Linked DNA regions of Saccharomyces cerevisiae S288C. The gene in region 3 interacts genetically with the main gene of each other region. Each region holds a gene or a part of one and is shown on either strand. Other genes may lie near its edges.

The links.
Region 1: mutations in SAC1 (region 3) and HOG1 together harm fitness more than expected from each alone (negative genetic interaction), as found in Saccharomyces cerevisiae (6 studies listed by BioGRID, with this or other methods).
Region 2: mutations in SAC1 (region 3) and GET2 together harm fitness more than expected from each alone (negative genetic interaction), as found in Saccharomyces cerevisiae (6 studies listed by BioGRID, with this or other methods).
Region 4: mutations in SAC1 (region 3) and COG6 together harm fitness more than expected from each alone (negative genetic interaction), as found in Saccharomyces cerevisiae (5 studies listed by BioGRID).

The regions. Positions count from the first base shown.
Region 1 is NC_001144.5:369,219-374,834, reverse strand, and holds HOG1 (mitogen-activated protein kinase HOG1), read right to left. Parts: upstream 3,216-5,616; coding exon 1,908-3,215; downstream 1-1,907. Other genes in the region: YLR112W (uncharacterized protein), read right to left, coding at 3,625-4,044; YLR111W (uncharacterized protein), read right to left, coding at 4,112-4,444; CCW12 (Ccw12p), read left to right, coding at 4,737-5,138; thioredoxin peroxidase AHP1, read right to left, coding at 5,524-5,616. UniProt on the Saccharomyces cerevisiae protein: Proline-directed serine/threonine-protein kinase involved in a signal transduction pathway that is activated by changes in the osmolarity of the extracellular environment.
Region 2 is NC_001137.3:323,430-328,546, forward strand, and holds GET2 (GET complex subunit GET2), read right to left. Parts: upstream 3,603-5,117; coding exon 2,745-3,602; downstream 1-2,744. Other genes in the region: phosphoglycerate dehydrogenase SER3, read left to right, coding at 1-666; UTP7 (Utp7p), read right to left, coding at 843-2,507; YER084W (uncharacterized protein), read left to right, coding at 3,636-4,022; YER085C (uncharacterized protein), read right to left, coding at 4,190-4,711; threonine ammonia-lyase ILV1, read left to right, coding at 5,048-5,117. UniProt on the Saccharomyces cerevisiae protein: Required for the post-translational delivery of tail-anchored (TA) proteins to the endoplasmic reticulum.
Region 3 is NC_001143.9:31,337-37,687, reverse strand, and holds SAC1 (phosphatidylinositol-3-phosphatase SAC1), read right to left. Parts: upstream 3,146-6,351; coding exon 1,274-3,145; downstream 1-1,273. Other genes in the region: TRP3 (bifunctional anthranilate synthase/indole-3-glycerol-phosphate synthase), read left to right, coding at 1-989; DOA1 (Doa1p), read left to right, coding at 3,581-5,728; YRA2 (Yra2p), read left to right, coding at 5,995-6,351. UniProt on the Saccharomyces cerevisiae protein: Phosphoinositide phosphatase which catalyzes the hydrolysis of phosphatidylinositol 3-phosphate (PtdIns(3)P) and phosphatidylinositol 4-phosphate (PtdIns(4)P). Has low activity towards phosphatidylinositol-3,5-bisphosphate (PtdIns(3,5)P2).
Region 4 is NC_001146.8:548,185-555,406, forward strand, and holds COG6 (Golgi transport complex subunit COG6), read right to left. Parts: upstream 3,804-7,222; coding exon 1,284-3,803; downstream 1-1,283. Other genes in the region: BOP3 (Bop3p), read left to right, coding at 1-1,106; YNL040C-A (uncharacterized protein), read right to left, coding at 4,294-4,374; YNL040W (putative alanine--tRNA ligase), read left to right, coding at 5,196-6,566; transcription factor TFIIIB subunit BDP1, read left to right, coding at 6,864-7,222. UniProt on the Saccharomyces cerevisiae protein: Acts as a component of the peripheral membrane COG complex that is involved in intra-Golgi protein trafficking.

The DNA.
Region 1 (5,616 bases), on a different chromosome or scaffold from region 3:
GAATCTCAATACCTTTAGTCGTATTGGGATAATAGCTGAATAATAATTTATAGAAAACTGGGGTGACCTCCACAAGCACAATAAGATTCAGAAATTATAGAATATAGCTTTTTGGGGCTTTCCAAAAATGGAATAGAAAATTTTTTGAAGTTATTCTATTTGCATAGACGCTCATCAAACTATGTTTAAAGATTAACTTCATAGTAATCTTTTGAATGCTTTTTAGCTTCCTAAAGATGAATAACGTAGAAAGTTGAAATATTTAGAAACAATCGCAGTATCCTTGCTAGACCCTCTTTAATATTAATAGTAATCTTGCAAACAATAAAGATAAGTAAAGTTAACGATAAAAGCATCATTTTCAACAAAACTGAAGGGTAGCGACATAATTGTCGGAGCAAAAAAATCTTCCCCGCCAGGACTTGAACCTGGAATCTTCTGGTTCGTAGCCAGACGCCGTGACCATTGGGCCACGAGGAACAAGATTTATTGTTTTTGTTTTATTACGGGCTCGAGTAATACCGGAGTGTCTTGACAATCCTAATATAAACAGTCTTAGGGAAGTTACCAGTTGTCAAAACGGTTTATCAGATTAACTCACGGATGTTACTTATCTTATATATTATATAAAATATGAATCATACTAAGTGGTGGAAGCGCGGAATCTCGGATCTAAACTAATTGTTCAGGCATTTATACTTTTGGGTAGTTCAGCTAGGGAAGGACGGGTTTTGTCTCATGTTGTTCGTTTTGTTATAAGGTTGTTTCATATGTGTTTTATGAACGTTTAGGATGACGTATTGTCATACTGACGTATCTCATTTTGAGATACAACAGTTTTCTATTTTTGAATCTTAGTGTTTTATGCTACGATGTAAGAATTGATAATGTAATGGAATATATGAGCTGCTGTACAAAGCGAAAGAAGAAATAGTGCTATGATTAAGTAAAATTATTGATACCTTTTGCAGAGTCTTATCTTCTTGAGGACTACTCGTAGGTTATTCTGTATACTTATAACCTCTAATAACGCTAAGAAATTGTCTCCATATCAACCTATTTCTCAAAACTCAATAAACTAAGATCCGTAGTTCTGTATAGTACTGAAAGTGTTCCTATTTTGGTGTCGTATGTTGCCATTCATTATTTTTAATAAATGCATTCCCACATCCACGAAATTGAAGACTTTTTGAAATTTGTTCTATTAGACATATGGTTTATATCTTCACTGTTTATAATAAATAGCTCCGTTAGAATTAATGAATGAGAGCATAAATACAAAAAATAGAAAAGATTTTGATATTACATAGAGCTGCTGATTCCTTTTATGAGTTCCTAATTTCTTAAGGAGAAGTTTCTGCCACAGTCCGTGAATGTAATAGTTATCTTCAACAAGAATGAGATTGCAAAAGACTAAATGTGGTAAGTATACGCTTGTCTGGGTGAGACAGCTATTTAGCAAGTTCTCTTTTTCTGCTTCAACTGTTCTATTTTCTGTATTTACTTTTTTTTTATATTTTCTCCGTATTTATGAAAATTCCTCTTCGGTAAAAGCACAGAATTAGACTTGAAATGTAAACAATATAAGACAGACAAACCTTTATCGAAGATAGAAGTGCTGATAAACAAACAATACGCCATAAGTGACGGTTCTTGGAGTCTTAAAAAGGTCTTTCTTGACTTTTTAGTTTCCTTTTTCTTCCAGTTTTACAAGAAAATCCAATGCGGTTAAAACAGAAAAAAATCATGATCGAAATACGTCCACTTTACTTTGTAATTGAGTTTTATCTTTTTTTTTTTGTTTCCTCTATACAACTATATACGTAAATACTTTTATGAGTACCATAAAAAAAAGAAACATCAAAAAGAAGTAAGAATGAGTGGTTAGGGACATTAAAAAAACACGTTTACTGTTGGAACTCATTAGCGTACTGTATGGCCTGGTTACCGTAGTCCGTAATGGTGTCATTTGCAGCTACATGATCGCTGACTTTGTTTCCACCAGCTATATCTGAGTGATCATTTCCAGTAGTGCCAGCGCCATTATGCGAATGCGCAGCCATGTTTAACTGAACTTGAGCCTGAGCCTGAGCCTGTGCCTGCGCCGCGGCAGCGGTGGCTGCAGCAACTTGGTCATCAAACGTGGCAGATATATCAATCTGTCCATCACTGCCACCAATCTTATGGAAGTCTAGGATTTCTGAGTACATCATAACACGCCAGGTATCGACAGGCAGATCAGCGTCATTAAAGTGCCAATCGAACTTGGCATCGGCTACTGGTTCATCCGTTGGATCGTGGTAAGGAGCCGAATAAGGATGAGCCAAGGCATCCGCCGCAGTGATTCTCTTCTTAGGATCAAAAACCAGCATTTTTTCCAAAAGGTCTACGGCATCAGGTTCGACTGTTTTAAATCTTTCAGAAAATGGAATTGGATCTCTGTGTGGTAACGAAGTAACAAATTTTAGAGTATTTTCGGAACAAATAGTATTTATCACATCCTTTGGCGGAGATCCCAACAAGTCAGTGATGATCGAAAATTGGTGAACATGATCTTTCCCAGGGAACAAAGGCTTACCTTCAATCATTTCGGCAAAAATACAACCAGCGGACCAAATGTCGACCTCGACGTCATATTTTTGCCACGTTAGCATGATTTCAGGTGCCCTGTAGTATCTAGTGGAAACATAGCCTGTCATTTGAGGGTCTTGAATTCTTGCTAGACCGAAATCGCAAATCTTCAAATCACAGTTTTCATTAATCAGAATGTTGCTCGGTTTCAAATCTCTATGAATGACGCCCGCGGAGTGAACGTATTTTAAACCCCTTAGAATTTGGTATAGGAAATACTGAACAAATTGCTTTTCCAAGGGTCTTGTTTGCAAGAGTCTATGTAAATCTGTTCCTTGTAATTCCGTGACAAAATATATATCTTCCAATGGAGAAAGAAATATGTCCTGAAGGCAAATCAAGTTCTCGTGTCTTAGATGTTTTAGTAGTTTTAGTTCACGATATGTCCTTTTGGCCAGCACTGCAGTGGAAAAAGGTTTCATGATTTTCTTAATGGCAACTGGCTGAGATGTCAAAGTGTCCGTGGCTGAGCAAACCAACCCAAATGCCCCCATCCCAACGGGGTTTAAATCATTGTATCTATTTGTGATCTCGAAAACTGTACCGAATATCTGTGTCCTAATGAATTCCTCGTTAGTGGTCATTATTATATACGATAGTTGTAGTTTTCCCTGTTTTCCCTTTGTTCCTTTTTTTCGAGTCTAGTATTTACCAATATAGAAGAAAGAGAAAATAAATAAGGTTTCTTGTTAGAGATTAGTTACTTTTGCTATTATTATCGCAAATTCCTCTTCCACTATACAAACAAGAAAGTAATTACTACTCTTATTGTAAGATAGTATGATAATTTCGACGATAGATAATATTTGCTTTTCGTTGGCCTTTTCTTTTTTTTTTTCCTTCCTTCCCTTCGAAGATCCTCCCGTATAATAACGCCGCCAGACCATGTAGGGTAACCAGAGAATACGCCCACTCCGCTTTCGCATGTGGCACTCCTGTATGTCAAAATGCCGAATAATCTCCATCCATGACGAAGCGCTTTGAGGTGTTTAATTATATACAGGGCAAAGTCTTGGAGATAAAGAACGCTTTCCTAACAACTTGCGCTATTCCTCTTATTTCCTTCAATCGATTAAAATTAACTTTTAATCGACATTGTCTTTTAAACCAGGGCAAAGCAAAATAAAAGAAACTTAATACGTTATGCCGTAATGAAGGGCTACCAAAAACGATAATCTCAACTGTAAACAGGTACAATGCGGACCCTTTTGCCACAAAACATACATCATTCATTGCCGGAAAAAGAAAGAAGTGAAGACAGCAGTGCAGCCAGCCATGTTGCGCCAATCTAATTATAGATGCTGGTGCCCTGAGGATGTATCTGGAGCCAGCCATGGCATCATGCGCTACCGCCGGATGTAAAATCCGACACGCAAAAGAAAACCTTCGAGGTTGCGCACTTCGCCCACCCATGAACCACACGGTTAGTCCAAAAGGGGCAGTTCAGATTCCAGATGCGGGAATTAGCTTGCTGCCACCCTCACCTCACTAACGCTGCGGTGTGCGGATACTTCATGCTATTTATAGACGCGCGTGTCGGAATCAGCACGCGCAAGAACCAAATGGGAAAATCGGAATGGGTCCAGAACTGCTTTGAGTGCTGGCTATTGGCGTCTGATTTCCGTTTTGGGAATCCTTTGCCGCGCGCCCCTCTCAAAACTCCGCACAAGTCCCAGAAAGCGGGAAAGAAATAAAACGCCACCAAAAAAAAAAAAATAAAAGCCAATCCTCGAAGCGTGGGTGGTAGGCCCTGGATTATCCCGTACAAGTATTTCTCAGGAGTAAAAAAACCGTTTGTTTTGGAATTCCCCATTTCGCGGCCACCTACGCCGCTATCTTTGCAACAACTATCTGCGATAACTCAGCAAATTTTGCATATTCGTGTTGCAGTATTGCGATAATGGGAGTCTTACTTCCAACATAACGGCAGAAAGAAATGTGAGAAAATTTTGCATCCTTTGCCTCCGTTCAAGTATATAAAGTCGGCATGCTTGATAATCTTTCTTTCCATCCTACATTGTTCTAATTATTCTTATTCTCCTTTATTCTTTCCTAACATACCAAGAAATTAATCTTCTGTCATTCGCTTAAACACTATATCAATAATGCAATTTTCTACTGTCGCTTCTATCGCCGCTGTCGCCGCTGTCGCTTCTGCCGCTGCTAACGTTACCACTGCTACTGTCAGCCAAGAATCTACCACTTTGGTCACCATCACTTCTTGTGAAGACCACGTCTGTTCTGAAACTGTCTCCCCAGCTTTGGTTTCCACCGCTACCGTCACCGTCGATGACGTTATCACTCAATACACCACCTGGTGCCCATTGACCACTGAAGCCCCAAAGAACGGTACTTCTACTGCTGCTCCAGTTACCTCTACTGAAGCTCCAAAGAACACCACCTCTGCTGCTCCAACTCACTCTGTCACCTCTTACACTGGTGCTGCTGCTAAGGCTTTGCCAGCTGCTGGTGCTTTGTTGGCTGGTGCCGCTGCTTTGTTGTTGTAAACTTAGTTTATTATTATTTATACATTCTAAATTTTTTATAAACTTTTTTGGCATTTAACAAATATATAACAATTGGGATTTAGTAGAAATTCTTTTAATTTCTTCTTTTTTTTTTTAATCTATATTTATTCTTTTTCTTTAATTTTGTTCGAAACGCATATAATGTTTTTATTGATTTTGTTTCAGGTTCCTGAACCTCGCGGAGTTCCTATTTTACTGTTGTTTTTTTTCAAAACACAGGGGTACCTTGAAGTATACGCAGTGCCTCTTAGCCAAGGATAATATAAACACACTAGAACAAAAAAAAAATACTCCTTGTACAGAATCGTTTTCTATTTTGAATTTTTTTTATATAAACATGGTTTTATTGTCTATTACATAGCATCTACAAATGAGCCAAGACACTTTCGACTGAGGAAACGGTCACATCGGTACCTGGGTTGGTTTCCTTGGCAGCGTAAGTAACGATACCGTTTTC
Region 2 (5,117 bases), on a different chromosome or scaffold from region 3:
AATAAATCTGATTTTGTGACACTACATGTACCAGCTACTCCTGAAACTGAAAAAATGTTATCTGCCCCACAATTTGCTGCTATGAAGGATGGCGCTTATGTTATTAATGCTTCAAGAGGTACTGTCGTGGACATTCCATCTTTGATCCAAGCCGTGAAAGCCAACAAAATTGCAGGTGCTGCTTTGGATGTTTATCCACATGAACCAGCTAAGAACGGTGAAGGTTCATTTAACGATGAGCTAAATAGCTGGACTTCTGAATTAGTTTCATTACCAAATATCATCTTGACACCACACATTGGTGGCTCTACCGAAGAAGCCCAAAGCTCAATCGGTATTGAAGTGGCTACCGCATTGTCCAAATACATCAATGAAGGTAACTCTGTCGGTTCAGTCAACTTCCCAGAAGTGGCATTGAAATCATTGTCTTACGACCAAGAGAACACTGTGCGTGTGTTATACATTCACCAAAATGTACCAGGTGTTTTGAAGACCGTCAATGATATTTTATCGAACCATAACATCGAAAAGCAATTTTCCGATTCAAATGGTGAAATTGCTTATTTAATGGCTGATATCTCTTCTGTTGACCAAAGCGATATTAAAGATATTTATGAACAACTAAATCAAACCTCTGCTAAGATCTCAATTAGATTGCTATATTAATATGCAATCGATTCTCATACTGTCAACTTTTTGAACATGATTAAAAGTTTCCTATAAAATATTAAAAAGAACCAAAAAAAAAATGGATAGAAGAATGCTTGAGGCAATAATAATGATTATCTATTTTATATATACATACATAATCATTTAAGTTTTTTTTTTAAAGATATTTCGATTTAGCCGAATCTGCTCAATGCCTCTTCGATGACATCCTTGTGGTCTTCTGAAATTAGGCCTTGTTTGATTTGGTGGTTTCTTTTACGAATATTTTTCTCCTTATCCAGTTGTTTCTGTACTCTTAATTTTCTTTCATCAATAACGTTTTGAGTCTTTTTACGCAAAAAGGAACGCAAACCCGAATTCTTACCTTTCACATCAGGTTTTACATCTGGAATGTCGCTGTTGGTTTTGGCTTTATTATTAGCATCCATTGTAGTTTGCGCCAAATCCTTAGCGTTTAACCTTATGGTAGAAGACCTTTTATCCACTGAACCGATGGAATTCGGATCTAAAGTAATTGTATCTGCTGGCAGTTTGTTCAATAGGGTTCTGACTTCCTGTTCCTGTCTTTGTTTTTTGGTTTCGAATGGGTTTAATTCTAAGGCATCGTAATTGGCTTCACCTGCACCAGGTACAATCAAATTCGTAATACCCGTTTGATGGCCTACACCTAGTAAATCTTCAAATGGTACGAATCCCAAATTTTCTACTTTGTTTCCGGCAAACAAATGTGACATGTAAGGGGTGTTTCTATGTGGGTTCCCTCCCATGGACCCGAAGCACGGTTTACTGTCTCCACTTAATTTTAAAGCGTCCTTCCACAACGTAACGTGAGGGCCCCTAGATAATGCCAATAGACCAGTATCTGAAATGGAAACGTTTGTTCCTGGCGTCGGTAAGCTTTCCACAGAATGTAGTTGCTTGAAGTTTCTGATATCCCAAATTTTCATCGACCTATCAGCCCCTGTGGTTGCCATGTAATACCCGCTTCTATCGATAGCAATGCTGTTCACTGGTCCTCTGGCAGAAAGTAATTTTACTAATGGTTCAGGCATGGATGGTGACCAGAGGGATACTGTACCGTTTGAATGACCTAGATGCATCACAGCATTCCATGGGTTTTGTGCCATTGCCATAGTTGGCCCAGCTTTGGTCCTCAATTCCGAGACCAACTGGCCAGTGGAAACATCGTGGTACTTCAACCAACCTGTCTCACCGGCAGTTACGAGCAGGTAATGATATGGTAGAAAATCTAAATGTCTTGCCTCAATATGTTGTTTCAAACGATGTAATTCTGTACCTTCGTGATCATAAATAAATGTATATTTTTTTTGCGCTACAGCAAAGTATTGTTCGTTTTGCAAATATGTCGCTGAGTGACAGGTTTCATTCAAAAACAGCTCAGCACGAAGTTGTCCCTTTCTCCAGTCCATAGATGCTACGTGACCTTTGCGGCCAGTAATCAAAAGATGCGTACCGTTTTTTGCATATTTTATATGATAAGGGCCGAATTCCTTCAAAGATAAATCCAAAGCTTTGTTTGCAGTACTGACATCCACACTCGATTTGATTTCCGATTGTTGCACTTTGAAAGTCTTTTCTAGCTCATTCTCAGGTTCCAAATAACCATTGGACTCGGGTAAAAGGTAATCTGTTGCCGCAGCAGAAGATACCGCCTTTTTATATTGCTCGTCTATTTTTTTCAAGCCTGCTCTTAGTTTTTTATCCTTTGTTTGAGTATGATTATTTTTAGCATTATTAGTATATGTGGAACGTTCAAATTTATTCTGGTTTTCTCTTTCTTTTATCTGGCGTCTGTGACCGTTCTTCTTGTGACCCATTGTGTCGTTGGAATCTGGTTCAGTTTCTTAAAGCTAGGATACTGAGTTTTTAATGCTATATATGGATTTTTTTTTACTATTGAACTCCAATTCAGTTCTATACATCGATTTTTCACGAACTCATCGCTTAGAAAATTTTCTTACCGTTTTTCTTTTTTTTTCAATTACCTGAAAAGAAAGCCGGGAATAATGTCGGGTTATGAGAACAATGTATTATATTACTGAACTATCTAGAATTTATAAGTACGTCAATAAGCCTAAGACAATTAGCACAAACGAAATGTCAGTGATTAGCATGGACAATAGATCCCAGTATTGCAAAAGGGTAATTAGCTTCCCCTTCAGGTTGGCGACGGGAATTACTCCCTCGGGCACCAGTGAAACTAACTTGACAAGTTTATTGGTATCTTGTAAATTTTTAATCTTGCTCTTGTGTTCCACATTCTTCAATAGCTGGTAGTAGATGGATATGGAAAGGAACTCAAACGTGGCAAAAATTCTAGTGAAATTCGATGGGTTCCGCAAAGGTGCAAACCAAGCTGATTGAGTAAATGCATAGGCCGGCCACACAGAGGAATTTGGTCTTGTGATTAGGTATAGATAGGGTAGTAGGAAAAAGACCCACTTCACAAGAATGGTCCAGGCTTTCAGTCTGTTCAGCAAGTAATCATGGTAGTCCAAAGCAGCTTGATTGATCGGGGCTGCAGGAGCCGCTTGACCAAACGATGGTGTACCCTCTGCACTGGGCATGCCAGTGTTCATAGAACTTAGTAGTGAGAGTAGATCGGGCGTAGAGGAGTCCTGAGGGGTACTTTTACCCGTACCTTGGCCTTGCATGGCAGCGAGCTGTTTCAATAGGTCCAATTGGGGCGCTACGTTGCTATCTTCTTTGATATCTGGAGTAGCCGAATGCACACTCGCAGGTGGTGTGGTCTTTGCAGCGCTAGGAGCGTCTAAAGGTGATTCTGCGTTCAAATGACTGCTTGCCTGCCCGGTGATTTTATTAAGCCTGGAGCTGGCACCTCCATTGCTAAACTTCTTCTGTCTCCTTTCCCTTAGTAACCTGCGCTTTTCCGCCTCTGTTAATTCAGACATATTTCCTAGAGCTACGTTGCTGATGCTACAAACATGGAAGAGCTCATTTGTACATATCCATATCATTCAAATCTTTTCATGTTCCTATTCTTGTTCTTTTGTCCCAGCAAACGCGCACGGCGGGGTCACCCCAAATTTTTATTTACCTTATGTTATAAGAGCAACCATCTCATCCCCAAACTTCTCCCTCCCTCCCTTTTCACAAAGAGAGTAATGCTCAACCCAAGTAGCCATCCGCCTTCCCCGGATTTTCCCACAGGATCTTCTGCAAGTCCTAGGGTCAAACTGAGACCATCCACGTTGTGGGCACCACCACTCACAGTATCCTCTGACTTTGCGGCTTCCAGTAGTTCTACTGCCCCTGTCACCGTCACAGATAAACCTGTCACACCCGCTGTATCAAAGCGGTATCAACCTTAACTCAGATTTTCAAGAAACAGAATAGCACATTCTCTAACATCAAGTTATCATACCAATATATAACACAAATTATGCATAAATAGATAAGTAATATGTCCCTCTGCCCCTGCCTTTCCCTTTCCAGATGCTGGCATCGAAAGTAAGGCATGTATTTGTATGTAAGTTTTTTAATTAATAGTCTTCTTCTTTCTTATCAGTCGTGCTCTTCTTTCCAAATTAATAGGTTTGAATCTTATCGGAATCACCTGGAATTCGTTCTCATTACATGGCCGCCCACCATGCACCTTTACATTTCGTATTTCTTTCCTCTCTGCGCTATATCTTTGGGAAAGATTTGCAATCAAGGCAAACACCCGCTTGTCCCCTTTCAATTCTTGTGTTATTTCAAAAACCATCCTTTCATAATATATTTGTATTTCTTTCGCCCTGGACTCTACCAGTTCATATTTAGAACCTTCCACATATCGTCCAATTCTGCAGCCCACATCTTTTTCCACCACGATACGGGAAACAGAATGGGTCCTTGGATTCTCGCTAAACAGTCTCTCTATTCCCCTGTTCAAAACCCTCAAGATATTTGTTTCCCGCAACAGCTGCAATTGCAATTGATCAATCCTATGCGAAAATGCCGAGTTTATGTTATTCAAGACGCATTTTAAAAAATTCACTAGCGGCTCCTTGAAATTCATTATGTCTGATGAATATGAAAACCTTTTCCTGACTACCAAGACTCTTTAACTCTTCTCTCTTTATTGCATATTATCTCTGCTATTTTGTGACGTTCAATTTTAATTGACGCGAAAAAGAAAAAATAAGAAGGGCAAAAAGAAAAAGCGCAGCGGGTAGCAAATTTGGAATCGCATAAAAAGAAAAAAAAAATATCAAAGAAAAAGAGTCATCTCAAACATATGTCTGCAGATACTTCATTATCAGCTTTGAAAACTTTTGTTGTTGCTGCTTTGAGTTCTTTCTTGTGTGAGTGCTACAAGCCACATTTAAACTAAGTCAATTACACAAAGTTAGTGATGTCAGCTACTCTACTAAAGCAACCATTATGTACGGTTGTTCGGCAAGGTAAACAGTCCAAAGTGTCTG
Region 3 (6,351 bases):
TTACTGCGAGTACCGAAAATGGAATTATCATGGGTGTAAGACACAAGAAGTACACTGTAGAAGGTGTGCAATTTCATCCGGAATCCATCTTGACCGAGGAAGGTCATCTGATGATCAGGAACATTTTAAACGTCAGTGGAGGCACTTGGGAGGAAAACAAATCATCTCCTTCAAATTCTATTTTGGACCGTATCTATGCTCGGCGTAAAATAGACGTCAATGAGCAGTCTAAAATCCCAGGTTTCACCTTTCAAGACTTACAATCTAACTATGATTTAGGTCTTGCCCCACCGTTACAGGATTTCTACACGGTGTTGTCATCATCCCATAAAAGAGCCGTTGTTCTTGCTGAAGTCAAGCGTGCCTCTCCATCGAAGGGACCCATTTGTTTAAAAGCTGTTGCTGCTGAACAGGCTCTCAAATACGCAGAGGCTGGTGCATCCGCAATTTCCGTATTGACCGAACCTCATTGGTTTCACGGTTCGTTACAGGATTTAGTAAATGTGAGGAAAATCCTAGATTTGAAATTTCCTCCCAAGGAGAGGCCTTGTGTTTTGAGAAAAGAATTTATTTTCAGCAAGTATCAAATACTAGAAGCAAGATTAGCTGGAGCTGACACTGTCCTTCTTATAGTCAAGATGCTATCTCAACCCTTATTGAAGGAACTGTACAGCTACAGTAAAGATTTGAACATGGAACCTCTCGTTGAGGTGAACTCCAAAGAGGAATTACAAAGGGCTCTAGAAATTGGTGCTAAAGTTGTAGGTGTCAATAATAGGGACCTGCATTCATTCAACGTAGACCTAAATACCACCAGTAACTTGGTAGAATCTATTCCAAAGGATGTTCTTCTAATTGCTCTATCGGGAATTACCACCAGGGACGATGCTGAAAAATACAAAAAAGAAGGTGTCCATGGATTTTTAGTGGGTGAAGCCCTAATGAAATCAACCGATGTGAAGAAGTTCATTCATGAATTATGCGAATAATTGAAACTTACACGGTACAATAGGGAAAAAAACTTAACGTTGTAAGGGCGAACGCCTTCATGTATAGTAGCCTATAGAAGATATATATATATATATATATATATATATATGACCATGAAAGATAAAGTAAAAAAGAAAATAAATAGCTTGTTCTTCCCTCTGGGGCCGGCGTTCATTTTTTTATTTTTTTATTTTTTAACTTACTTTTTTTCTCGTTTTTATCATATTTTCGGTTTTACGTTTTGGATTTACAATAATCATCATTTTATCACATATAGAACTCATTAATCTCTTTTTAAAGGATCCGGCTTGGAAAATTTAGGACTCTGTGCATATTTCAAACCTTTGAATTGTTGTTCTTTATCATGCGTTTGATGAACGACCAAGAACCCAACGTCTACTAACTTAGGCCAGTTGACAAACTGAATACCGTTCTTAAACATGAATTTGGTTGAAAGCGCCAAGACAATCGACGCACCTGCAAAATACAGCAAATTCTTACTGCTGGTAAATCTATCTTTAGGAAAAAATATCGTAGCACCTAAAACGGTCAAGGCTGCGCAAATGATCATTGGGATCAGCTGAATATACACTGGTCTTCTGTCGGGGAATGGCGACTTGATAGAAGCGGTATGTGGTCTAAATCCACCAAGGAATAAATCGTATGAATCCTGTCTTGGACCATCAGTCCAATTGTTCTGGTAATAACGTGATGCTGAATTCAAAAAATCGTTGAATGCACCTAGACGTGTACGCTTACCGGTTCTTGTGAAATCGGTCTTCAAAGCTCCAGTGCCCGAATATGCCACACTAACTGCATCTGCATTATCAGCCCATAAGTTTTGGTAAGAAGTTAACAATGGAGCGTTGTCTTCCCAAGTGCTTCCAGTAGCAACGACATCGGCACTTTCAAACTCCTTTTGCAAAACCCACTGGGCTAAAACAGATTGAACGACATTTGTTCTGTCCAAACAATCCATACAGTTTGTTCTTACAACGGAATGTTGCTCATTAACAATTTCAACGGTGTTACCATTAGAGTCTATGACCTTGTGGAAGAAATCTTCGTTAGATAAACCTAATTTCTCCAGGTGATCAATTAACAATTTCACTCTATGCCATTGCATCTTACGACATTCATGGTGGAAGTCAAAATACACGTAGTGAATCTTCGGATCGTTTAGCGCGTGCACGACTGATTCATAGCCCTCTTTCACGGGTAGTTCGTGGCCCTTTTGGTTGACTAGGTTAACCAAGTAGTTGTCGCCATATAACTCCTTTTGCTGGTCAAAATGCTTTTTTGTCGCATCTAATGAGTTTTCTCCAAGAACAAGATTTGGCTTGTACTTCAAGTTGTTGATTTCAGCCCAGTATATTGGCACAGATCCTCTTGTCTGTAAGAAGGAGAAAACGTGTATTTTTTCACTCTCTGGATTCTCAGCGAGTAAAATTTGCTCAGTTTCATTGAAATTGCCAACGTTACCGTCTTTGTCAACACCACGACGGAAGTATCTTGTGCCCGCCCTAAATATACTACGTCTGGTAATCAAACCAAGAACGATAGGGGTGGCATTCAAAACGGCGTCCACTGTCTTGGCATACCCATAGATAACAGGTTGTATAAAGGAGTCAATTCTAGGATCTTGATGAGCAAAGTTTCTCAAATCTTCAGTTAAGTAATGGTTCCAAAAGAATCGTTCATCAGCGGTTTTCCAGGAGGCTGCAGGACCAACCTTTTCATTTCTTTGTAAGGAATTTGTTAAATCATATGTGTATGAAAAATAAAAGGTGGAATTTTTCAAATGCAACTCCAGTAGCTTGATATATTCGGCTTCTTCAGAATCGATTCTCGAGTTAAACTTGGTAGATACGATAGAATGTTGCAACACTCTATAGAAAACGTGGCCATTGAATCTACCGGTCTCTTCCACAGTATTTGCGATAATGGCATACCTGTTCAACTTTAGCTTAATGAACCCCATCAAGGACGCAATCTTTACTACTTCACCTTGCACAGGAAATTCCTCTGCTCCAAGGACCCGAACACCTTGATCTTGATTGGCCAAGTGAATAACAGCATCGTTAGTTCCTTTGCCCTCAGCAAGCTTGAAGAAGATACCGTCCGCATTTTGAACGTACACTATTGGACCTGTCATATCTAGACGAGAAAATATACGTGTATATAAATATTATCGTTACTGTTATAGGGATATGGTTTCTAATCCTTTCTCCTATTTCCTTATCTAAACCTGTGGTATTTTTCCCTTGCCTTTTCAACTTCAATAAGCTGGAATTAAATTTGTAGTGTGGGTAAGCAGTAGTGCAGCAATGCGTGCGTGTGCAAGCTCTTGAATATTGAAGGTCTACAGGTTACTAAAACAATAGGAGCGAGGCTTGGACGTCGAGAAAGTTGCTGACCTTGGCATTTCCTTTGCGAGTTTTTCAAAATTTTTCACACTCGTTCAGGACCACGAAAAATAAATCATATGAGATTTTAGTACGCTGATAATAAGGGAAGGCCACTGTCTTGGCTTATTTTATATATATATATTCATGTGTGATAGTAAGGTGTAGAGCAGCAGATTTGGAGTATGGGATATCAATTGAGTGCAACACTTAAAGGGCACGATCAGGACGTCAGGGATGTGGTAGCTGTGGATGATTCAAAGGTTGCTAGTGTTTCGAGGGATGGAACAGTTCGCTTGTGGTCTAAAGATGACCAATGGCTCGGTACGGTAGTTTATACAGGACAAGGATTTTTAAATAGTGTGTGTTATGATTCCGAGAAGGAGTTGTTGCTTTTTGGAGGTAAGGATACTATGATCAACGGTGTGCCCTTGTTTGCCACCTCAGGAGAGGATCCCTTGTATACCTTGATTGGCCACCAAGGGAACGTTTGTAGTTTATCCTTCCAAGATGGTGTTGTGATAAGCGGTAGTTGGGACAAAACCGCAAAGGTTTGGAAAGAAGGATCGTTGGTTTACAATTTGCAAGCACACAATGCCTCTGTATGGGATGCCAAAGTCGTATCCTTCTCAGAAAATAAATTCTTGACAGCTTCCGCCGATAAGACGATTAAACTGTGGCAAAACGATAAAGTGATCAAAACTTTCAGTGGGATTCACAATGATGTAGTAAGACATTTAGCTGTGGTGGATGATGGCCATTTTATCAGTTGTTCAAACGATGGCCTCATCAAGTTGGTTGATATGCATACAGGTGACGTACTAAGAACATATGAAGGCCATGAAAGCTTTGTTTATTGCATTAAACTGCTGCCCAATGGAGATATTGTAAGCTGCGGCGAAGACCGAACAGTCCGTATATGGTCAAAGGAAAATGGTTCGTTAAAGCAGGTAATTACACTTCCTGCCATCTCTATTTGGTCCGTTGATTGTATGTCTAATGGTGATATTATTGTGGGAAGTAGTGATAATCTTGTGAGAATATTTTCGCAAGAGAAGTCAAGATGGGCTTCCGAGGATGAAATAAATGAACTATCTACGCAAGTGGAAAAATCCACTATAAGTTCCAAGACAATAGAATTTGATGAGTCTAAACTATCACCTTATGAAATTTTACAATCGCCGGGGCGCAAAGAGGGTCAAATTGTGGTAGTCAAATCACCTCAAGGTACTATAGAAGCTCATCAATTTTCAAATTCTTCATGGAAAAAGGTTGGTGATGTTGTCGGTGCAGGTGCTACTGGAAACGACAAAAAAATAGAATTCGAGGGTAAAACGTATGACTACGTATTTGATGTGGATATTGAAGATGGAAAACCTCCCTTGAAATTGCCGATTAATGTCAGCGACAACCCATATACAGCAGCCGACAATTTTTTGGCTCGTTATGAACTGCCAATGAGTTATAGGGATCAAGTAGTACAGTTCATACTGAAGAACACTAATGGCATATCGCTAGACCAGCCCAACGATAATGCATCATCTTCTGCAGTATCACCTTCAAAAACGAGCGTAATGAAGGTTCTTCCTGTCAAGCAGTATCTTATCATGGAAAATTATAACCCAGATACTATTTTCAATGGAATAGTAAAAATAAATTCAAATGAGAAGACCTTTGATGATGAAATTCTGGCGCAAATTGGTGGCGCACTACATGACATAGATGAAAGCTGGGAGTTGCTACTTTCATTTGCTAACACTATAAGATCTAACTGGGAAATTAAGACTCCTGCATACGACATAGTACGATTGATTGTAAAAAAATTACCTTATTCTTCAGATATAAAAGATTACATCGAAGAAGGCTTGGGCAATAAGAATATCACTCTAACCATGTTAACTGTGCGTATTTTGGTAAATTGCTTCAATAATGAAAACTGGGGTGTGAAATTACTGGAATCAAATCAAGTTTATAAATCAATTTTTGAGACTATAGATACTGAATTTTCTCAGGCATCTGCTAAACAGTCACAGAATTTGGCTATTGCAGTTTCCACACTAATTTTCAACTATTCAGCTCTCGTCACGAAAGGGAACTCTGATTTAGAACTTTTGCCTATCGTAGCTGACGCCATCAACACCAAGTATGGGCCATTGGAAGAGTATCAAGAATGCGAAGAAGCCGCATATAGGCTAACCGTAGCTTACGGAAATTTGGCTACTGTTGAACCTACATTAAGACAATTTGCCAACTCCGTAACTTGGCTTGCAAACATCAAAAGGAGCTATGGGAACGTGCCAAGGTTTAAGGATATTTTCGACGATCTCTCCTAATACTTTTACAGCAATCATATAAAACACATAATGTCTAGATAGCAAATAATCTTTAAAATTCTTTCTGCCCTATTGAAAATTATGACAAACTATCACGGTCATTTTCTGTCTAACTCGGCAAGAAATTATCATCGTGAAATGAAAAAGGTTACATACAATAAGGTTATTTTGAGTACAGACTGATAAATAGATGGAAAAGACTAAAAAACTGAAACGATAAGCGTCTAGTACCTTTTCCATTAGACGATTCAATACTGCATTTTGCAATGGACAAAGCATTTGACGAAATTATTGGAAATAGTCACACAGACAGCTCATCTAATCATAAGGTAACGAGATACCGCAGAAGGGATTTAAGAAATGAATTAGGACCTAGACTGGGATTTGCGCCTTCGGATGCTGCATCAAGGTCGAAAGATCGCCTTTATAGAGAGAGGGAAGAGCCTCCTTTGCCTAAGAGAATTAGAATATCCAAAATCCCACTAGACGTTTCTGACTACACCCTCGATGATATGATTAAAGAGTTTGGCTCGCCAATATTTTCGAAAATTTTTGACAATAAAGAGGATCGTACATGTATTTACGAATTTGAAGACCCAGAAGTTTTGGAAAAGATTGTCGAG
Region 4 (7,222 bases), on a different chromosome or scaffold from region 3:
ATATAATATTTGGTACTAATGTATCGGAATGGGCTTTTTCTGAGAATGCTTTAATGAAAGCTATGGATTTGAAAATAGAACAAGAAAAGACTAAGCAGCAATATTATAAACTTGAAAACTTGAATCGTTCGATAGAGTTGTTTAAGCTTGCTTCCAGTTCAGGTCTGCCCATAAATCAAATACATAAACTATTCAACACCGACCATGGCGTACCGGCGTCTTCGCCGATGAAGGCAGGGGGCAATCAACCACATAACAATACAGAAGGCACGCAATCTTCAGAAAATCTGCCCAGATTGAATGGTTCTATGAAGTCATTAAAACCTCTAAATATGAACACAGTGTCACCAACTCCAATGAGTCGACAGCCCTCTCCATATAAGTTTCCAGCATCATCCTCTACCGGCGGTATATCACACTCCACAGTTACAAATGTACAACGAAGAGCTAATTCTCCTGCAAGAATAGGTGCATCCGCAGTTGCTGCGTTGAATGACAATATTTCCATTAAGGAGGAAGATGTGGCTAGGCGAATTCCCTCTGGTACAAAATCTCAAGAATCGCCTTTAAACAAGAAGCCGACTTCTCTTCACAGCCGTAACTTGTCACTTCCAATAGGAAAGTTCACCAATCCTAATATTCCTTCTACAATGACATCCATACTAAGTTTCAATAGAGACCAACAGCAGCCGCTATCTCAACCACTGCCTCCTCCTCCACAACAGCAACAGGATCTCCACACGCACAATTTACATACTATACCAAGGAAACCTGGAATGGTTCAAAAAAAGCATAGGCGTGCAAGATCCACATCCTCCTTTGGAGTGATCGATTTAAGTATTATCGATGAAGCAAAAGAAAAACAAGTACAGAGATCACCATCCCCTATACATTCTAACGTGTCCGTAGCACTTACCTCACATGACAAACCAATTGAATCCAATATGAAGGAACAACCAAATATGCTGCAATCGGTTCGTGAAGGACGTCAAGTACACGATGACTTGGATGACAGAACATGCAGTGAAAGCAGTAGTAGAAACGAAAGCCCCGTAAGAACCATCACAAAGGATAATTCTGTAGGCAAGATTTTAAATAGTACTTGAGTGATCATTATTTTCTTTTTGATGTTCCCCCTACGTATGTATACACCCATATATTATATAGATACCCGCCGCATACCAACATAAAAAAGGTAACAAATATTTGAGATATAGAGCATCGCTACATTATGGGCAAGATGCGTCTTTGTGAGACGATTTTAAACAGAAGTTGTTCATCTCTCAGTGATCAATACCTATCAACATGTCAAATTCATCAGTGGAAAAATTTAAAATTTCGAATACCTGATCCTTCTTGTTCGGATACAAATGAATCAACAGTTTCCTGAAGATATTATAAAATAGCGACAACTTCTTGAAACATTCATCGCATATTTCATCAGCTATCATTGGTGACGTTAATTTAAATAGTAAATTACCTTGAACATCTGTTAACGCCTGAGGTAGATAATAGTTCAACTTATCATGCACATTTTTTCTGACCATGTCTAATTCCATCAATGAATTATCCCTCAGGGCTAAGTACATATCATAATCCAATTCATCCTTTACTGAGTCCACAGGAAAAATCATATTGACCAAATTGCTGTAAAGGTCTAAACCTGTATTCTCAAATAGGAATTTTATTTGTAAAGTTAGCATTTGCTTAGTATATTCCTTCAGTTTATCACAAACCCAGATGGTGATTTTCCGGCTGTCATCATCTTGTGCAAACAATCCCTCAAAAGGTTGAAGTCTAGATTTAATTAAATCGAAACAGTTTATCTCTATAGTTAGCAATGATGCCTTTTCTTTTTCATTTTTTTTCGCCAAAGGAAAAGATGTTTGCAATTGTTTTAACAGAACATCTTTTATTGGTTGTTCTACAATTGTTTGTAAATTCTTAGATGAGAGCAATTTATTATCTTCTGATTCCTCATCTTCGGCAGCATGTGTCTTTTCATAAATTTCAAATAACTCTACCAATTTATTCATATACTCTGATAGCCACTCTGGTGGCAGTAAATCATCTGAAGAATTTTTTGTTTCCGCCATGACTGTTTGCTTCATATAGTCTTCATAGTATCCAATAATTCTGTTTTTGGAAATGTCTTCCAACGACTTTAAATTGTTAATAATAGAACTATCGTCCTGAATTCCCTTTCTCTCGAACATAACTCTGTAAAGTTTCAGCAGCCTCACAATCTCGAAATTGATGATCGGATTTTCTTCAAACCTCACGATTTGCTCGATACGAATACGACACGAATTGGATAGCGACTGGATGATATCGTTCAGCAATTTGTTGTCGATGCCTTTCAAGAATGTCTTGTTTTGTTGAAGTATAGAAATTGGGGTATCTTTTAAGTCTTCATCCTGAAAGTCAAATAGTGACTTCACGAAATCAGCTTCATTTGCGATGATGGAATGAACGGACGCTAGTACGTCACCAATATACCTAATTGGATCGTGTGCCGATAATATGATGGGTTTAGAGGTAGTTGAATTCATATCGAATTGAGACAAAAACTCATCCAGAATACTCTTGGATCTCAGTGTGGTCACTCTTTTCAACAACTCATTAAATAATTCTAGATCACTTGACAGGAAGACCAGACTCTTCCGAAAAATGTTTAAGCTTTCTTGTTCAGTAGTACCATGGTCATTTAATAAATTTGAAGAGGATTCAAAACTATATAAAAAATCGATCAAATAATTGAAGATTTTTTTGTTTGTCTTTTCTAAAATTTCATTAACTCCCATTATCAAAGCATTTCCAGCATTCAAATTAGGAAGCGTCAGCAAGAAACTTGATTCATCTTTAATATTGATTACTTTCTTTACTACCTCGAAAAAGATGTTGTCTATAGTACCATTGGTGATTACATCGTCCTCTACCTGATTCAAAGTAAACCTATCCCTTATAGATAACAGTATTTTTTTTTTCAGCTTCAACTGCTCTGCCTTTAAACGGTATTGATCTATTTCCTGAAGTACCACGTTATTTGTTGGAACCTCATTTGTCTCATTACTTAGTAATTTTTCGCTCGTTCTTTGTATTTTTTCGACGGAAGAAGATAATCGTTTAATCCTTCTAATGATAGGTTTGAATTCCTCAAGTACCGTAATATGTTCCTTTAGCAGTTGAGATTCCAAATCAGTCCTCAATGCTCTTCTTGCCAAAGTACCTACATATTCAGGATTCATGAGCTTTTGTTCATCAAGGGACAATCTCTCTTTATTCTCTTCTAGAACCTTTAGGGATTTTCTTAGTTGGACTGTGGCCTGATAGTTAATCAATGTGTAATTGTTCAATATCTTGGATAGTTTATTCGAAAGAACCAAATTTGTGGTATTTTTGTTGGAACCACTTGACGGGGATACTAATTTTGATAAATCAAGGTTTTTTGGCTCGTAATTCGTGAAATTTTGAGATTCTTGCTGCGATAGTTTTTCATCCTGGGAATTTTGCCCTAATTGTTTGCTTGGATTTGAAAGCTGTATTTTATCAATGGAAGACATTGCGTAATGTGTCATTTTCTTATGTAGGTCTTTCGAACCAGCACCATCATTATCTACTGGCAAAGTTGCATTATTATTGGAATAACGTTGAAGGTCGGGCAACTTAAACTGTAGATCTAGTTTACCGGTGGGCTGTGACTGTGCATCTGAGGTTAAGTTTAGTCTTGGCTCAGGTTCTGGTAATTCTGGCGTGGCAGTATCCGCCATTGCGTAGGTCTGATAGTCTACAACGAAATCCATTGTGAGTAAACTTCACTGGGGATTTTGTTACGATAATGTACAATATACTTCAGATACTACAGCTTTCGGATGAATATTTACTAGAATGAATTACTACCTTAGATGTATATTTTGTATGAAAGCGTCATTACGCCAGTTGTATGTATTTTGTCGTCTGAGACGGCAGGTGATATATAAGTAAAATGGAAGTATAAACGAACAGAAAGCAATCATTAACAATTTACTTATAGATTTCGACTAACATACGCATCGGTAGGATTAGATACCAGTTTTTGAAATCCAATTTTTCCCTCGTATATGGAATGTGCTGAGAGTTTTCCTCAGGGATATGCGTATCAACAAAAGAGAGGTGGTAATACATGCAATCATATAGCGGTTTGTTTCTTTAATACTATATGTTGTCACTTATAATCCTGTTATATTATTGATCTTTAGGTTTCAGCTGATCCTTCTAATATCCCTCTATTGGTTTCGTAATTCGTGTTATCCTTTAAGAAGATCCTAGCGACATAATCATACTATCAACTGTTATGTTACCGTTTGGTGAACAGTTGGCTTTTTGCTCCGGCATTTTTGATTAAAAATAGGCTCTTGTTAAGCTACTGGAATTTTTCTATATTACCAGGCTACTCTTGATATGGCACCGGAATGTAATAGGAGTTACAAGACCATTTCAAGTTAAAGAAAAATTACTGGAAAAAGGGTAGTAACGTACGTGGACGAAATAAATAAGAAGGACGTAAATTTAATACAAATGCACAAGTAAAGTTATCGGCTCCTATTCTTCACTAATTCCATGCATATTAAGAACTGCTGGAATAAGAATTGACCGTTGCTTATTGACTAGTGGCCATGTTACTAGTATACCTATCACACACAATGTAAGAAAGTGACATAAGCCATGAGATACAATCTCAAATCTAGTAAAAGCCGAAATACAAGAACTGATGATGTAACAGAGTAATGCATAACAACGTGCAATGCAAAGGAAGAAATAATAGTGTTATTACGTAGGACATTGATTTCCTGTCATGACTATTATATCCTCAATGAGCGCATATAATGCATTCTGTATATTCAATAATACCACCTTATCAAATAACGAATACCATCGATTATCAGTAAATTCATGTATCACTCGCGTAAATTCTGAAATTCAGCCCACTAGGAAGACGTTTATATCAGTTTACTTTTGTACAAGTGACTTATTGCAAGCAATTTGTACGAAATATGCTTACACTTTTCATTAGTAAAAGAACCAACCACCCATCATTAACATCTTTTTATTTTTTATCCTTATCGTGTAAAAAAAACTTAAGAATAGACATCCTGGTGACGCATATCGACGAAAGCACACAACAGCGTCAAAAATTGATTAAAAGGTAAGTTATCATGCCCACACCTATGACGCCTGTCAAGGTCGGCGCTTTAGCCTGCCAGAGGAACTCATTTCTCTTCGATGGGTTCAAAACACTGGTTGTTTCTTGCGAACCAACGAAGAATAAAAAGGGAGAGATTGAAGGTTATGAGATTGAACTACAAGATACTATTCTGTTCCCCGAAGGTGGGGGCCAACCAAGTGATTCTGGTTTTTTGAAAATTGTTGAAGGGAATCGTAATTCGTCGAAAATTGAGAAGATATTAGTTTCACACGTTTCTCGTTTCGGTTTACATGCAAAGCATCATGTCAATGACTACATTGAGCCCGGAACAACAGTGGAAGTGGCCGTGGACGAGCAAAAGAGAATGGATTATATGCAACAACATACTGGTCAACACTTGTTAAGTGCCATTCTGGAACGCAACTACAAAGTAGACACTGTATCTTGGTCGATGGGTGGTATCATCACAAAGAAAAAACCTGTTCTAGAGCCTAGCGACTATTTCAATTATATAGAGTTGAACAGGAAATTGACTCTCGACGAAATAACGAACGTATCAGATGAGATTAATCAGTTGATCATCAACTTTCCTCAGGAAATTATTGTAGAGGAAAGAATCGGTGAAGAAACAGTAGATGAAGTTAGTACATCCAAAATTCCAGACGATTACGACCTCTCCAAAGGTGTTCTACGTACTATCCACATCGGTGACATTGATTCTAACCCATGTTGTGGTACACATTTGAAATGTACCTCTCAAATAGGTTCCATTTTAATTCTTTCCAATCAATCAGCCGTAAGAGGTTCAAACTCAAGGCTCTATTTCATGTGTGGGAAGCGGGTTTCTTTGTATGCAAAATCTGTTAATAAAATTTTACTGGATTCTAAAAACTTATTGAGTTGTTCAGAAACTCAAATTTCTGAGAAGATAACAAGGCAAACCAAACAAATTCAACAATTAAATAAAAGAGAACAGTATTGGATAAAGAGATTAGCACGTACCGCTTCTGAAGAATTAATGAACACACTGAAAGCCAGTGGAAAGAAAAGGGCTTATTTTATGGAAGAAGAATACGGAACATTGGAACTGTTGCTACAGATCCACAAGGAAGTATCTAATTTTTTGAAAGATGATACAGAAGGTTACGAAATTATCCTATGCGGTTATGAAAGACAAACGAACACTGGCTCACTGCTAATTCTTTCGGAATCGGGTGAAAAAATTGCCAATTTGGCTGCTAACTTAGGTTCGATACTACAAAACCTAAAAGGCGGTGGTGGTAAGAAAGGTGGCAAGTGGCAAGGTAAAATTACATCCATTTCGAATGCCGAGTTTGCCGCCCTCTCTGATTATTTAAGCCATGATTTCGCATCATGTTGAGAAATGTGCCATTTGTATACGCAGATTTGTTGTATACATAATGGTAGGTATTTATCGTGATCAAGTCTCAGGAAGTCAATAAGCATGGTCTATTCTTTTCTTTTATGTAGTTTATAATAGGCAACTTTAATGTTCCCAGAAGACGCGTTTTCCATTACTTATTATACCCAAAAAAAAAAATTAAAAAAAAACAACTTCGAACATGCAAACGCAAAGCGAAGGAAATTATAACTTTGACTTCTAACCTATTAAAGAAATACAAACAACCGGCAAGGAGCCACTGATTACCAGGTATTTATGAGTAGTATTGTTAATAAAAGTGGTACACGCTTTGCCCCTAAAGTAAGGCAGCGTAGAGCCGCCACTGGAGGAACACCAACTCCAAAGCCAAGAACCCCTCAACTTTTCATTCCCGAAAGTAAAGAAATAGAAGAAGATAATAGTGATAACGATAAAGGTGTTGATGAAAATGAAACGGCTATTGTTGAGAAACCTTCGCTAGTTGGAGAACGCTCTTTAGAAGGCTTTACCTTAACCGGCACTAATGGACATGATAATGAAATAGGTGATGAGGGCCCCATTGACGCCTCGACCCAGAACCCCAAAGCAGACGTTATAGAAGATAATGTGACTCTAAAACCGGCACCCTTGCAAAC